Linked DNA regions of Arabidopsis thaliana. The protein of the gene in region 2 interacts with the protein of the main gene of each other region in a pairwise test. Each region holds a gene or a part of one and is shown on either strand. Other genes may lie near its edges.

The links.
Region 1: the proteins of MAC5A (region 2) and PCFS4 interact in binary tests that used the Arabidopsis thaliana proteins (3 or more experiments, as listed by UniProt).
Region 3: the proteins of MAC5A (region 2) and PTF1 interact in binary tests that used the Arabidopsis thaliana proteins (3 or more experiments, as listed by UniProt).

The regions. Positions count from the first base shown.
Region 1 is NC_003075.7:2,470,125-2,476,850, reverse strand, and holds PCFS4 (PCF11P-similar protein 4), read right to left. Parts: upstream 4,986-6,726; 5' UTR 4,769-4,985; coding exon 4,436-4,768; intron 4,274-4,435; coding exon 4,172-4,273; intron 4,083-4,171; coding exon 3,843-4,082; intron 3,387-3,842; coding exon 2,196-3,386; intron 2,115-2,195; coding exon 1,599-2,114; intron 1,479-1,598; coding exon 1,434-1,478; 3' UTR 826-1,433; downstream 1-825.
Region 2 is NC_003070.9:2,259,817-2,265,158, reverse strand, and holds MAC5A (CCCH-type zinc fingerfamily protein with RNA-binding domain-containing protein), read left to right. Parts: upstream 1-2,235; 5' UTR 2,236-2,363; coding exon 2,364-2,468; intron 2,469-2,804; coding exon 2,805-3,074; intron 3,075-3,195; coding exon 3,196-3,419; intron 3,420-3,750; coding exon 3,751-4,597; 3' UTR 4,598-4,842; downstream 4,843-5,342. Other genes in the region: AT1G07380 (Neutral/alkaline non-lysosomal ceramidase), read left to right, coding at 71-330; PCNA1 (proliferating cellular nuclear antigen 1), read right to left, coding at 777-998, 1,111-1,208, 1,292-1,444, 1,637-1,955; SR45a (RNA-binding (RRM/RBD/RNP motifs) family protein), read left to right, coding at 5,058-5,147.
Region 3 is NC_003074.8:388,642-393,371, reverse strand, and holds PTF1 (plastid transcription factor 1), read right to left. Parts: upstream 2,653-4,730; 5' UTR 2,129-2,652; intron 1,876-2,128; 5' UTR 1,851-1,875; coding exon 783-1,850; 3' UTR 605-782; downstream 1-604. UniProt on the Arabidopsis thaliana protein: Plays a pivotal role in the control of morphogenesis of shoot organs by negatively regulating the expression of boundary-specific genes such as CUC genes, probably through the induction of miRNA (e.g. miR164).

The DNA.
Region 1 (6,726 bases), on a different chromosome or scaffold from region 2:
AGAGCGGTTATGGTTTCTCATTTTGTGTTTTTTGAAATCCAAAGGAAGTCAAGAACGCACCTTTTGCGTTTAATTTCATCTCAAGCTGATGAAAAAAGGTAAAGTGGTTCGGGTATTGACTTCTGCTGGAAACCACGGTTTTAAATTGTCTATTTTGCGTTTCGTTGACAGTTTTTTGAACACCTTTTGGGTTTCCCCTTTTTGCGTTCTCCGACCCAAGTTGTCAGTTTCTTTGTTGTTTTGTATTGTAAGCCCTTTTGTTGCACTTGACAGATATGGAGTTAAAATCTTTGTTATTAGTACACTACTAGTTTCTGTTAGCTCTCTCTTATCCCATTCAACCAACGGTCCAATTTTCTAACAAAGGCAAAATAAAAGGGCAATGATGTGTGTTCTTAACCTGATCTTTTGTTCTAGCTTAGTTCATATTGCATATTGCAAGCTGTTTTCTTATATTCATACTATAATAGACTATTTTCACAATGTATATAACAAACATGAATTTTACTCCAGCCATTACATCTATTGATCATCACATACTCTTGTTTAGAGACTAACGGTTGAGACAAAGCCAGATTTGAACTGAGTTTGCTCTGCAGTCCTATAAGGTACTACCAGAACTAAATCATAACCTTTAAATCTTTATAATTCCATATTTCAAATGTAACAGTCATGAAAAAACTCTAGTTTGATCGAGCAAAAAGCCAAGTAAGTTCGAAAGCTTTAACTATCGTTCAATCTACTTCGACATAAATCCGGCTCTGTATCATGTAGGTATGAAGATACAAGTAGTGGAAATTTCAAAAGCAAAAGGTTCAGATAGAAGAAAAGTAAAACTTGTTTCATTATAGACAAAGTCAAGAGAACAAATACGCTTAAAGAGAGTTATGTTAACTAACATTTTTAGCTAACAGCCTAACATAGAAAGGTAAAACTCAGACAGGGAAAGCTCTAAAGAAGAAACCTGAAACTGGTTCTCTTAGCAACAGCATCTATGAGATCCATTCATCATAAGAAATCTGTTCACATTCGAATATCAGTCTTCTCGGGCTTTCCCTGCAATATCTAAAGATGAAAAAGAAAAAGACAATCCGAAACAGAGACATTGTATTCCATTTACATGGGGAAACTACTGTTGCGACATCTGATTTTACTACTACAAGCACCCCAGGTTAGGTGTAGCAGAGAATGCAGAACAGTTACACGATATCCATGTCCTAAGGCACAACAGGAATTTAGAGGCATAAAGAATGATAATATATGTGGGTGTAAACCTCTTTTTTTCAATGGTACAGTTTTAGGAGAAAGAAGACTCTCTCCATCATTTCTCTTCATTGGTGGTATTCTGTGACTAAGTGCATATAGATGATGAAGAAATAAGAATGTAACTTAAATGTAGTCAAGAAAAAGACCTAAAATTCGGTCTAAGGGATCTAACTCCGCATCTTTTTCCTCTGACTACCCTCTTCCATATCACCCTGAAAAAGCCATGATCGGGAAATCAAGAGGTCGTCACTGGATAAATGTCTAGCAGCGAAAATGAAAATGGATTCAACTAGACACAAATGAAGCTAATGAAAATGCATGGAATGGCTTACCCCATTGGACTCTGGCCTGCACTTTGCATGCACTATAGGACCTAACTGAGACTTGTCCATATCTGTTGTTGATTCTTCAGGAGCATTCATGTATACCGCACCTTTGTACATCCATTCCTCGGTTTCATCACTATAAAAGTCTTCAAATGGCTCACCACATAATGCACATGAAGTTTGGTCTTCATCTGCAGGAACTGCCATATCTTCGTCATCCTTCTTTTCTGTTGTTGGCTCCGTGGGCAAGAACCCTGGTACTGCTTCAGCTCCAAGTGCTTCTGCACCACTGAGCCACATGCTAGCACTTACAAACCATTTCCGAGAAGGGTTCTGCTTATGGTTCTTGGACATCCTGTTCTTGGTTACATGCCAATCCATGTGCTTACTGTGCTCTTCTTGGCACTTGAAGCGTAGACCACAGGTTGTGCATTGCCTCGGGAGATCCCCATATAAAGCACTGATTGCAGACTCATTACGTATCTTGAGCATGTCTGCATCAAACTCCAACCCCAATGGTCCCTGAATATATAAACCAACAATTCAAGATAAAGCAATAACTAAGAACAAACCGACTCTCAAGGACATGATTTGAATAATTACCTGACCAGCAGGCTGATTGTTCAATGAGATCAAACCTTGAGCCATGAGAGAGCCAATCAGACCAGAGAATGCGCCACCTGGTGGTTGATTAGAGGCTCCTATCTGAGATAAAACTCCTGAAGAAAGAGGATGCATGGCTTCCCCACCTTGGATTGATAAAGATGGTCTAATGGTTGACCCATGTGGAGGGTACCCATGACTTACGTGGGTTAACAACGATTGCATTGGCCTTGGAGCCATAGCAGATGAGGATGGCAAATAATTAACTAGCATCTGATTCTGTTGAGTCATATCATTAAGATGACTCTGAGAGACCTGGTTTTCGGGCCTATATAAAGGCTTACCTTGCAAGCGATTTGACATCGCATTACCGGGATTTGCCAAATGATGCAAATGAGCAGAAGGTACAGGGAGAGAGTTGGGTCCTCTAGCACTCAAATGGGGCCATGTCCCATCAGGAAGAGCCCGGCCAAAACGTGAGTTAACATCTTGAATGCTATCAAATGGAGGAGCCCCGAATTCACTGTTTGATGAAACTAACCCTACAGATGAAGCCAATACTTTCAAGTCTTTTCCTGCTCTTGTATCAACACGGTTGGATGTATGTGGATAATTTTGTGACAAACTCCAATTTTCTCGTAGCTGATGACTTACACCATTCTTAATGTCAGAATCTAAATGAAAATCACTTGTGTTTCCTACTCTGGGTCTTGCCCTTACACTTCCTAATGCTGGTACAGATGATCGCAAAAATTCACCAGCTCTGCTACGATCTAGGGTAGGGCTCATATCTTCCCAATCAAACTCTTCTTCCTCAGTGTTCTGCCATGGTGTAACCATCTTACTGTGCATGCCATTCATATCGCGAATTGGTTTATTGATCGTTACGTGTTTGCTGGTGTCAACTCCATATGCATCTATCAACGCTCTAGGTCTTTCGTGATCATTTCCTTGGCCTAAGTTTTCCTTTCTTCGCCATTCCATATGTTCATCATCTCTGCTAGTAGCTCGACCCATTCCATAGTTAAAAGCTTGATTAGAAGGATTAGCTCCATCATTAGACCTCCTGGTAAAACCATCTGGTGTACTAGACAGTGAAGATGGGCTCTCTAACTGATCTTCGAAATCATTATACCCACCGAGTGAATTTTGGCCATAAACTCTTGCACTGGAATTAATTCCTCTCAAATTCTGCATGTCAAGCAAGAGCAATTAAGGAAATATGCATCTCAGGTATAGTCACTCTTTGAAAAAAAACATATAAAAACAGTTCCAAACGACACATGATGCATAAACAGTGATCTACTGTACTATAACCAAAAAAAAACCCTCTACATGTGCTAACAAGATCATTTCTAATGTACCAGAGTCCCAGTGACCTACTCATCATGTATAACTGAGAGAGGCCATAACAACAACTCCCTTCCAGTCAAGATTGATTACTTGAAGAATGTAAACATCTATCTCGTCTAACTAACAAAACTTTAAAGAAATACAATGGATAAGACCACTATGAGGCCAAACTAATCTAATACCCGTTTTACTTAGTACACTTATATAAAATTAACACACCATAGCTTCAAGGTTGCAGATGCACCTAAAAAAAGAATGTCATCTCTGTTCATAATGACAAAGAGAAAGGCTTACATTTTCGGCGGCTGAGGGCTCCAGCCTGCGAAGATATTTTGGATTAACATGTATACCTCTCGTTGGTTGACTAGGCTCAGAAGCCCCTACGGAAGATTGGTTTGCTGCAGATGAAAGTTGCAATTGCATATCAATCTTGCGTAGTACAGGTGGTGGAAAAACACTCGACCAAGTCCCAAACAGGTGACGCATTGACGGATGTAAACTCGGATGTGCTTGCCTATATGCAAGGCAGAAGACCTAAAGCAGAATAGGATCAAAACAGCTCATGGGTATGCTTCAGCCCTATTCAAATCATTTAAGTAAACATCTTCTTGTAGACTGCTCACCTCGGGTAGACGGGATGAGAAATAGCGACCATAATCCCGCCCAATGTTCTTAACAATGCTGTCTAAAAGATACAGAGATGGCAACTTTTGCTCAACAGGAGCCTGCATATATACACCCACAGGTAACTCAGAAGCAGCCATTTCACTAAACCACAAACCAAACACTAATCTCTGACAATCAAAAACCTAATTTTTTTCCCACTTCTACACTTACATACTATACAATAAGGCTAGAAAGTGGAAACAAATAAGAAGAAAGCAAACCTCAAGGATTCGAGTGCAAATAGCATTAGCGATTCCTTCACCATGTTCCCGTTGTTCACCAGCGATAATAGTGAGATCAGTGATAATAGGCTTAGAATTGAAAGTAAGCTCACCCAAAACAACCTCATAAAGCTGAACAATCTCATCCATACTCGGAGGCAAAACCTCTTCACCACCACCGAACTCATCTTCACGCTGATTAAGCAAAGCTTTAAACCGGTCTAACAACGACGGCGGTGGCGGCGGTTTCTGCGGCAACTCAACGGACATACCTTTGCGGCTGGTGCTATTAATCGAAACAAGTCTTGGATTGAGGATTTTCTCTGAGTCCATCCCCAATTCAATAGTGAAGAGTGATAATTAGTGGCAGCATAAAGGCTCTAGGGTTTCTGTTCCACCATGGAAACTCCTCGAATCGCCACCCTTGTGGGGGAAGAGAGAGATAGAGATCGATAACGGAAGTTTTTTTTTTTTTAGTGAAGAGGATTTTTTTTTCTTCTCAATTTTGTATCTCTACTTTATGCAAATCTCATTTTTGTCCCTTTTTTTTTAGAGTTATCAACTACATCCCAATTATTGTTTTTACCCGTTTTGAGTCACACAGATTTTTGACTTTTACTATGACCTCATCAATTAATCACGTTGCAATTCTCTTCTTTCCCTTATTTGAAAAGTTTGATCTTGCCTCTTGGTGACACTAAATTTAGTTTTGAGGAACTATTTCATTTCTTAGCTTATTTATCTATCTTGATAAAGTTTGAATCTATCTTGTTTTGATTCTACTCATGGACTATGAATGATTTTTTTTTTGGTAGACAATTAGATTTTATATTATTTTTGATTTTTGACAGAAATACAGAGATTAGCAAGAAGCGGATTAAAACAATCTACAAAAATAAATACAACATTACAACTCTAATTCATTCAGTTCGCTTTTATGCGTTCAAGGCTAAGTTACGAGTTGAAACACCGATTTTGAACTCGTGAAACTCGGAAATTTGTGTGGTTGTCACATGACCGAAAAAGTGGAATTCTCATGGTAGTTGCCACGAGCATATCTTCGAGAACTTGATTCAAATTGATACAGTTAAAAACACCACCATCAAACCACGTCCTTGTTACGTTTCTTTAAGTTATATTAAAAAAATGTTGGATTAGTTGTATAAAATCCTATAAGGGTTTGAGTTTATTATTACATAATTATAATTATATAGCTTCCTATTTTATAAGTTTAAATTTAATATTTGTTAGTTCCTTTGTTTTTACATTTTAAAATATAAAGTAATTGCTATTTTCAAAAATGTTAATTAATTAGATGCTAAATATGTTAATTATTGATGTGGCAGCTCCCGATTGGTTGTTTTCAAAAATGTTAATTAATTAGATACTAAATATGTTAATTATTTATGTGGCAACTCCCGATTAGTCGTTCTAAATCCTAGGTTATGAATCCACGCTACGCATGGGTCTATTTGTAAAACTTTTTAATATTTTTTTGTGTGAATAAAATTATTATAGAAATTTTTTAAAAGATATGTTTTTATATGTCTACTTGTTGTTAATATTATAAACTCTTTGAATTTTAAAATTACCATGACAATAGTTACAATTTAAATACAAAACTAAAAATAACTTTAATACAACTTTTAGGTTTACAACATTTATCAAAAGAACATTTTTTTGGCTCATGACTCTCTCTTTAGCTTTAGATATTTAGGATCACGACGTCTTTTTATGTATGAAATAAATTGTTTTATGGAAAATAACTTCGACGACTTTCTCATTTTGAAATCCGTAAATTTACTATTCTTTTTTGTTTATCTTCGCTGCATTAGTTAGTATAGCTCGTCTAAAAATAAGATATTATATAGAAGTATATTCATAAGCTTATCTATACTTTACTTTAACAACTCATATTTTCTCACATTCTTTTCAATATGTATATGAATTTCTGTCTTCACAATTTTTTTACAAAGAGCTATCACTCTCCCTATCTTTTTGCAAGCACTCGTTTTATTTGTTTCATTTTTTCTTACAGTGTCTCTTTCCATCCTCTTATGATTTTGTTTAAGCAATATGTGTCATACCTTCTAAACTTTTCACATGTTCCATATTTTTTCTTCGAAAATCTCTTTCTTCTCTAGTTAGTACTAGGGCGAAACCCGAACCAAATCGCGGGCTTTTTTTATTAAAAAATGTAATTTTGTTAAGTTGTATGTAGGTATTGAATGTTATTTGTCATGATTCATGATATATGTAGAACAAAAGAATTCATTAGAAAGTGATTAAGA
Region 2 (5,342 bases):
TGATGGATCCTTTCAAAATAAGTGACTTGTCATACTTTGATGCTAAGAAGAGATACTATGTTCATGACAGGGACGTTTACACTGGTGGAGAGACTAGAGCAGAAGGACAAGACTTGGACCCCGGTTTATGACGACGATGATCTATGTCTGAGGTTCAAGTGGTCGAGGCATAAAAAGCTGAGCTCCCGGAGTCAGGCCACTGTGGAATGGAGAATTCCCGAGTCTGCATCACCAGGGGTTTATAGGATCACCCATTTTGGTGCTGCAAAGAAGCTTTTTGGGTCAGTCCATCATTTCACAGGCTCTTCTAGTGCTTTCGTTGTAACATAAACAAGTAGAAACCAAAGTAGATACATAGTAAACTTGTATTATACTAGGTTTACCTGATGCACTGTCTTGTGCACTTGCATGTACTACACAAATGTAGCCAGAGAGTACAGAATGGTGTCAAAGAACTGATGTTGAGAAGTCTAATGGAATCCAATATACCTTTTCATGTCAATGTTCACATACAGTTTAAGTATCCAGGTATAGGCAACTACGGTTGTGTTAGTGTATAAATTATCTTGCAAAGTGGAGTTAGTTTGTTGATGAATGGTCATAGTTTCAAGACAACTAATTTTGCTGAACTTTGTTATCATAAAACATAATAAGTCAAGAAAACAACTGATTCTAGAGGGGGGATACAAAGGAATCTCACCAAAAAAAAACACCAACATTGTCAATAAATCTTCAACATTTTAGAATGAAGAGAAATTGTGGATATAAAAGGGGTCTTAGGGATTAGTGTCTTCTTCTTCTTCAATCTTAGGAGCCAAGTAGTAACGAATGTAACCCATCTCAGCAACCTTATACTCCACAACCACTGGCAACTCCGACGATAAGCTGATTGTCACTGTGTCTGACAATGGAGTTGCCTTTGTGAAGGAATTCATGTACCTCAGGGCAAATGAGAGAGACACTGGCTCCTTCATCTCTATCACAATTGCATCTTCCGGCTGCAATACACAAAACAAAAGCCTCAATTTAACATGTTACTCCAATGAAACAGCCGTAGAGGATTTGTCAACAGTATCATAGGTTTATGCAAAGAGTTAGACATGTTAATACCTTGTCTACAGTTGTGTTCTGCCTGAGCACAATGTTAGCGGTTCCAATGTCACCGGCAGTAGAAAACTTCACGCCTTCTTTAGTCACAGAGATCACAACTGCAACAATAACATCAGGTCAATCTCTATTTAGACTAAAAAAAACAACCCAGATTGAGAATAGAAACAATGCAGCAATGTACCTGTGTCACCAATGCTACTGAGATCTTTGCAAATCCTGGAAAACTCATTGGAAGGCATCCTCACGATTGAGTGGTACTCAGCATCAGGTATTCCCAGATGTTCACTGTCTATATCCATCAACTTCATCTCAAAATCAGCAATCTTGTCTTGCGCTGTAAATCATCCAACACAAAACCAAGTTAAAAGCAGCTAGGTCTAAACCAAGTTTTTGAAACTTGAAACTATATACAACCCCTAAGAGAACTAAATCATTCTATTCCATCAATCATTCCACCATTTCGTACAAGCTTAACCCATAGAAACCAGAAATTAGAGTAAGTCAGTCAATTAGCAAATAAACTTACTGGGGCTCTCAAACATGAAGGTAACGGTGTCGCCGCCGTCATCAGCCTTGATGGTGATGATGTCATCATTTCCGGCGCATTTGAGCATCTTCGACATGTTGCCGAGATTCATCCCCATGGAGAGATTCCTGTCGCATCTGTAGTGTTCGAAGCCTTCGGATCTTAGCAAGAGAGACACCAGAGCAACGTGACTCGAATCCATAGCTTGGAGTGAGAACCCAGTGCTGGAGCAGTCGAAATTCGCATCGTTCACCAGATCTTTGATTGATTCTAGAACCTTCTTCAACAACGAGCCCTGAACAAGACGTAGCTCCAACATTTCGTCGTCTTAGATATTATCAGAGTTCACAATGAGAATCGTTTGCGGCTATTTTGGAAAGTGGATTGACACTATAAGGTCAAGGAGTCCGATTTATAAGCTTTTTCTTTTCTGGCGGGATTTCGCCATTCTAAGCTATTTGGTTCCCGCCAATGCGCTAGTGCCGGCCTCAATCGTTTTAAGAATTGGATGGATATTTTTGGTCATTATAAAAGTTAGAGGGTTAATTTGTATTAATAAAAAGAAGAAAAGTTCATTTCGAATTGTAGTGAAAGTTTAGGGTTTTATTTGTAATATTTAAAAGACAAAAACACGCGAATCCAAAACCGACTTTGCCCTAGTTAAAATCTCGTCGTCTCCTTCGTGTTCGAGATTTGATATCGACTAATCGAATCAGAGGATAAGAGAATGGCTCACAGAATACTGAGAGATCATGAAGCCGATGGATGGGAACGCTCCGATTTCCCAATCATCTGCGAATCTTGTCTCGGTGACAACCCCTACGTGCGAATGGTGATTTCTCGATTCCTTCTCTCAAACATTCTTGGATTTTGCTATTGCTTGTTTTGTTTCAATGGCTCCTGAATCTTATTTCCGGATCTCATCTCTTAACCAGTCTCTTGCTCGTTGATGTTTTCTGTATATTGGAGTGGTTAACTTAGTAAATATGGTTTTAGGGTTTAGCTTGTTATCAAATTCATCGAAAAATTGGGTTTTACATCCAAATTCGTTTAGTTATAGTTGGATTTGATTACAGCTGCGGATTCTCTTAGCTTTCAGCTGCAATTTTGTTTTCTGAAAATCTCGATGTTTTGATTTCTGATTGACGTTTTATCTGTTGATATGTAGACCAAAGCGAATTATGATAAGGAATGCAAGATATGTACACGACCTTTCACGGTGTTTAGGTGGCGACCTGGCCGGGATGCTAGATACAAGAAAACCGAAATTTGTCAGACTTGCTGCAAGTTGAAAAATGTTTGTCAAGTCTGTCTTCTGGATCTTGAGTATGGTCTTCCAGTTCAAGTAAGAGACACAGCACTCAACATTAGTACTCATGACTCTATCCCTAAAAGTGATGTCAACAGAGAGTATTTTGCTGAAGAGCATGACAGGAAGGTATGATCATGTTCACACTCACGATTTTATTTCAGCATTTGTTGGTTTGAGAATTTTGAAGACTTACTCTAGCTTTCTCATGGTGGCTTATCTAAGTGATTTTGCTTTTTCTGTTATGTAGGCTAGAGCTGGACTGGATTATGAATCTTCATTCGGGAAGATGCGACCCAATGATACTATTTTAAAGCTTCAAAGAACAACACCGTACTATAAGAGGAACCGAGCACATGTTTGTAGTTTCTTCATCAGGGGTGAGTGTACAAGAGGTGCTGAATGTCCATACCGGCATGAGATGCCCGAAACAGGAGAGCTATCCCAGCAAAACATAAAAGACCGTTATTATGGGTAAGCTTTTTTCTTCTGTATGTTTGACTTTGTTGACGTTTAGTTCCGTTCTTTATTGGTTGTTTCGATACCTCCCCTAAGGAGTGTAAAATTTCATATGTTTCTGCCATAGTACTATTTTCTCCTTGATCATTCATAATATACTCGATATTTGAAAGCTTCTGATATGTGAATTCTTGGACTGAACTATGCTATGTTGGCTCTCATGTAGTCTTGTTACATAGTGTCGTTTCCAGTTTTAGTTCTCTTTGTAATGTATTAGTACTTTTGCATTTATTCTTGTTGAAGAGTTTGTTTTAACTGTTTCTCATTTTCTTTTACACGTTTTCAGTGTTAATGATCCAGTTGCTATGAAGTTGCTTGGCAAAGCTGGTGAGATGGGCACTTTGGAATCGCCAGACGATGAAAGCATCAAAACCCTTTACGTCGGTGGACTTAACTCGAGAATTCTCGAGCAGGACATACGAGACCAATTCTACGCTCATGGAGAAATTGAATCTATCAGAATCTTGGCCGATAAAGCCTGTGCATTTGTCACATACACAAGCCGTGAAGGTGCAGAGAAGGCTGCGCAAGAGCTCTCCAACAGGCTAGTCATCAACGGTCAGAGGCTAAAACTCACATGGGGAAGACCCAAACCTGATCAAGATGGTGCAAACCAACAGGGCGGTGTGGCTCATAGTGGGTTACTACCTCGAGCCGTTATATCTCAGCAGCACAATCAACCCCCACCAATGCAGCAGTACTATATGCACCCACCACCAGCTAACCAAGACAAACCTTATTACCCATCAATGGACCCACAGAGAATGGGTGCAGTCATTTCAACCCAAGAGGCTGGTGGTTCAAGCACTGAGAACAACGGAGCTTCATCTTCTTCTTACATGATGCCTCCACACCAGTCATACCCACCACCACCATATGGATATATGCCATCGCCTTACCAGCAGCAGTATCCTCCTAACCATCATCATCAACCTAGTCCTATGCAGCACTATGCCCCGCCTCCAGCAGCTTACCCGTACCCACAGCAACCTGGTCCTGGATCAAGACCTGCACCGTCTCCAACCGCGGTCTCTGCTATATCACCCGACTCTGCACCTGCTGGGTCTGGAGCACCTTCGGGATCCTCTCAACAAGCTCCTGATGTTTCTACAGCTACTGGTTCGTCTCAGTAGAGAAGAAATATCGCTTAAAAAATGTACTGCAAGTTTCCCGCTATTCAGGACGAAGGTTTTTTGTATTCTGAATGAATCATTTTCTTCTGCTTTTTAAAGTACTTCGGAATGTATTGTTTCTTCAAAACGGTTGTTAACGAAATCTATCAGTTATAGAGGCAATTGGTTCCATGAAGAGTCTGCAGTTATTGGCCAATTTCATAAAGAACTTTGAGAATATTATTATCACAAATTTCACATTTGCTCGAATCGTTTATTTTTTTTTGAGAATTCTACTAGTAATTTGGATAAATGCAAATAATCTGGGAAATACAATTGGGCCTTTTGTGAGAAGAAAAATCGTATAAAGCTGGGCCGGACGCCAAACTGAAAAATGTGATGGAATTTTTAAAATTCAATCGCGTCCGACTTTCCCGAAGCTTCTTTCTAAATCCTCTCTACATATATTCCCCACTCATATATGGGGAAACGTGAAATTCATTTTACTCCGGTGGGTCGTCAGGTGCAGAGAGTTCTGGAATATCCATTGCGCTTGGAGAATCGTTCGCCGGTAATTTGCTTCATCGATTGTATTATCCTTCGTTTTTTAGTTTCCGATTTAGAGCCGTTTTACAGAGTTGTTTTCGAAATTCTGTGGAACTATCGTCTTTTAGGTGTTGTTAGATCTGAATCGTTGCTGTAAATTTCGATGTGCTTAAGCTTGATTCTAGACTTGTAAGGAAAATAACTAGATAGATGTCAGCAT
Region 3 (4,730 bases), on a different chromosome or scaffold from region 2:
TGTAATTTGCATTTTAGCCTAACTCTTTCATTGGTGAACATGCATGTGATCACTATTCACTACTACACATTATTATCGAGACCATTTAGCCTAGCTACACATCTTAATTTTTATATGGGAATGGCTTCTTTGCATCTTGATAGTTTACTTACTATGCTAATAAGATTTTAAAATGGGCACTTGTATGTATAATAACCATTCATGATGAATTTCTATTTGATAATGGGTTCAATATATATCTGCTTCACATGACATAGTAATGTTAGGTTTGTTTGGGTTTTGTGGAATCTCCACTTATATCATCATCTAATAATCTATCTAGCTACGGTCACATTGAGTTCTATAGTTGCATTGTACCGTGCATCCAATAGAAACATAATACCTCGATAACAGATCAGTATAAATTATTAGATTCAATTTCATATTATTACGTTACCTATTGATGAATCTGATTTTTTTTTTTGCTAAATATTTGATGAATCTGAATGTAATTTAGCTTCTCATCTCAAAGTGCATACATTACTATCAGATACTTATAATACATTTCATGTATGTTTGTGTGTATTCAGATCCTATGAGGAAGCTATATATATATATATACATGAGAAAGTTTCAAAACACATGCTAATAGTAAATTAATAAATCAATTTATAACATTAATTTGTCTATTAAAAAATATATCAGCAAAACATAGTACAATAGTAATTACCTTATATTTTGTTTTGTGTCCCCTTATTTCTGAACACATCAAACAACAATTATATCGTTTCAATAATCTAACTTCACATATGGTGATCACTTCCTCTACTTGTACAACGCTCCGAGCCTAGATGCCTCGACATGTTAGCCGTTGTAGTGCTATTAGTTCGGTTGAATTGGACCGACGACATCCGATTATCAATGTCTCTACCACCATTGTTGCTACTACTACCATGTAACAACGAATATAATGTCGAAATGTTTTGGGAAGACGAAGATGAAGAATTACCCATTAATGGCATTTGAAAATGGCTTACCATTTGCCTCGGATCTAATGTCTCCATAGTCCCTGAACCAGCTGACGATGATGATGGAAACAAAGATTGTATAGTTGTAGTTGTTGGTGATGTCGTCATTGGACATACCAAAATTTGTGATGGAAATGGGACAAGACTATGTAGTTGATGACTATGATAATCTGCCTGTAAACTCAAATGTTGGTGATGATGATGATGATGTTCCAGGTTGTGATAAGTTCCATAAGACCCAACATGATGATTGTTTGTGTAAACGACATCGTTTTCTCCTTTCTCTCTATCGTTTTCTTCGCGGCTAGTAGTAGTAGACTTTTGTACACATCCATTGATTTTAAACCCGAGTTGGGTCGGATCTTGACCGGGCCGTTGACCAAGATTCAAGAAGGACTGATGATGGTTGAAGATGCTGAAATTTTCCGGCGAGATAGGTAACGGAGGTAGCTCGTCGATCTCCTCTTTAGCTGCATCAAGCAACCAGTCAACGGCTTTGCTAGGCTGGTCAACACCGAGCCGTTCTTGAAGATCGTAGAGCTGAATAGCCGTTGGGACTGATAATCTCACGCGTCTGTCACGTAGTCCACGTAACGTACACACTTTGCTGTGACGGTCTTTGCCTCCAAAGGCGCGTGAAACCCTAACAATCCTCGGATCCTTGGATTTCATCCACGAAGAAGAAGAAGAAGAGATCGATGTAGGCTGCTTTTTAATTACGGTTTTGCCACTGGTGGCTCTGACTTCGGTTTCTTCTTGATCCTCTTTTACTTCTCTTTCACGTCTTGTCGTAGCGCCGCCTGCAACTTCGTCGTTTGCATCTTTCCAAGAGACGATATTCATAATGCTATTCTCGAGATCTTTATATCTAATACAGAAAGAAGACCAAATGTATATCCATTAGCAGAAAACATAAGGGAATTATGGCAAAAGAATTCAAATAATATAGTTAATTTCTGAATCCTTTTAAAACGAGAGCGAATCCAGAAAAATGGAGAGAAAGTAGGAATTGTCTAAGAGAGAAAATTAGGGTTTAATTTAGCCTGTTTTCTTCAATCGACAAAATTCTTATAATCCGGACTGAAGAAGAAACAAAAAAAAAAACGTGTACTGTTTCTTACATGAGTTCCAAAGTTTTGTACGGTCTTGAGCTTGAACAGGAAATCTAGGGTTTTGCTGTTCTATAAAATGAGTAATATGATGAAGAAGAGAGAATGAGAAATAGAGAGAAGAAAGTATGTGATTCGACTTTTCTTTTCAAAAAGTATATGAATAAAATGAAAATAAGATAAAAAGAAAAAGAAAATTAGAAAGAAGAAGATGCTTTTGGAAGTGAATATGAGAACCCTACCAATATCATAAGCCTCCAAAATTTAGAAGAATTGCGACTTAAGTATTTATGTTAAAAAAAGCAATGGATGTAGTAATGCCACGTGGCGGATTTCGCTATCCTCGAAGGGAAAATAAAATGAATGCGCTGAATAATCAGTCAAGTTCATTTTCATCTTTAATATTATGGATCATATCAAATCTACATACGGAGGAGATATTAAACTCGAATATTTTATCATCCACGTATGTGATATGAGTTGCAGTTATAATACGGCTAAGAAGAAAATCCCAAAAAAAGTATACGCGAATATCTAAATTTTACAGAAATTTTAGATGCCAAAATCAAACATACATTGACGTGAAGTTATATATAATAGTAGCTTATTAGAACATCTAACCAATGTTATGAAAATAACGACATTTTAGGAATAATTATTGTTGTGAAATGGATGATGTACGATTATTGATGGAAAACGTATGAATTTTATCTCAATTAGCCAAACCATGATAATTTCGTGATTTTTTTTCTTTAATTGTCCACTGTAAATCTATTGGTAGAATTAAAAAGCCAAGACCTATATTATTTATGATCCTTGATTTTTTTTTTTGCTCTTTTCAAAAATATGTTTTGCAGCCGCCAATGCACTCGTGATATATTGAAATGAAGTTGGATCTATAATATTATGACTAGTTAAACACTTCATCACTTTCTTTTCTTAAAAAAAAAAATGAAACTACATCAATTATTAACCAGGTATTGATTTGTTTCATAACACTTCTATAAATGATAAAGATTAGACTTTAGAGTTCAGCGTAGCGTTTTCTTGATCATTTTAACTCATCTTTTAAATTGGATATCTTATGAATAATCTAATTAAAAGAATATGGTACATTATGTTTAAATTTAGTCCTTGGTTCTACAATATGAAATGTAACTCACATATATGGTAATATATAATATACACACAGTATATGGTCCATGTGAATATTGGCATGCTGTTATATCGACAATTACAAAAGGTTGTGGTTTACCCGATGCACGCCTTGTGTACCTTGTTGAGTCATGACTCATTACCTTTTCAAAACACAAGTACTTTAACTAGACATCACTAAGCCCTAATTTACTTTTGCTTCATATATAAAAATCAGTTTTAACATCTTTATTTATCGATAAGGTTGTGTTAACCTTGTGATTTTTCTTTATATAAGGATTTTTTTTTAATAAGATTTTCTATATTAGATCTAATGATGTATATATTATATTTAAATGTGTAATCTAATATAATTAATATGGACGGTAGGATATAAGAAGTAATATGATTTTGTTATTCGGATGCATCATCTGTGAAAAGGGGCACCTATATAATTCCCATATTACTAGTCAAACCATTCTTTTAGGTCAAACTTAATGTTCTAAGAATAATTGAGACGAGTATTTTTCAGAATTTCAAATCCATAAAACTAATAATAAAAAAGTATCCACATGATTGTCTTTTGAAGTATGCAACTTAATTAATTATCCATTCACAATAAGATTTGTACCCCTTTTTCAAATACATTTTAAATATCTATATGAATCAATAACATTCATCAAATTATTAATTTTATTAAATTGTACATTGTCTTTTAAATAAAGTGATATAAGAATATTAGAAGTGGACGAAAGCAATATATCCTTATGAATCGAAACAAAGGAGTAAGAGAAAAAGAAAGTGTGATGATGATCATTTTATCTTAAGACATCACATGGGAACAAAGGAGAAATCGGACAAACTTAGAATCCATTAAGTCATGTCTACTTCACCGACTCCAGAATTTTGTTGTCTCATGAACAAAGATTGGGGTTTTAATAGCTTTTCTATAGTATTTTCACATCCATAATAATAATTAATGATGTGAAGGATATATATATCAACGACAATAATATCCTAAAAATCATGTTAAAAGTTAAACACATTTCTCCATATTTGATAAATAGCAATCAATATCAGCGTATATAAATGAGATGAAGCTAAAGTTAGCAAGACAAACAAAAACGTATGAATTACGTGAGCTTACGTGAATATTGCAAATAGAACACCAAATCATTAATTTCGGTTGACGTGGATATTCAAATAATGATCTACACATATACAGTACCGTGGGTACGCATGCCATTTCGAGACGTATACAATTCAGTTTCTTCCACTTGAGTTTCAGATCTTTATCAAAATTACAAACACGTTTATATATATATACACATATAGATAGATTGATAGCCACATTTCTGAGATTCGATAGTCATATATACGACTATATATTAAATATTCCAGAAGATATATTGACACTTTTTCTGAAAGACTAATTAAGAAGAACGCGCAAGTATGACTATGCGTTACTAAGAATATTTAA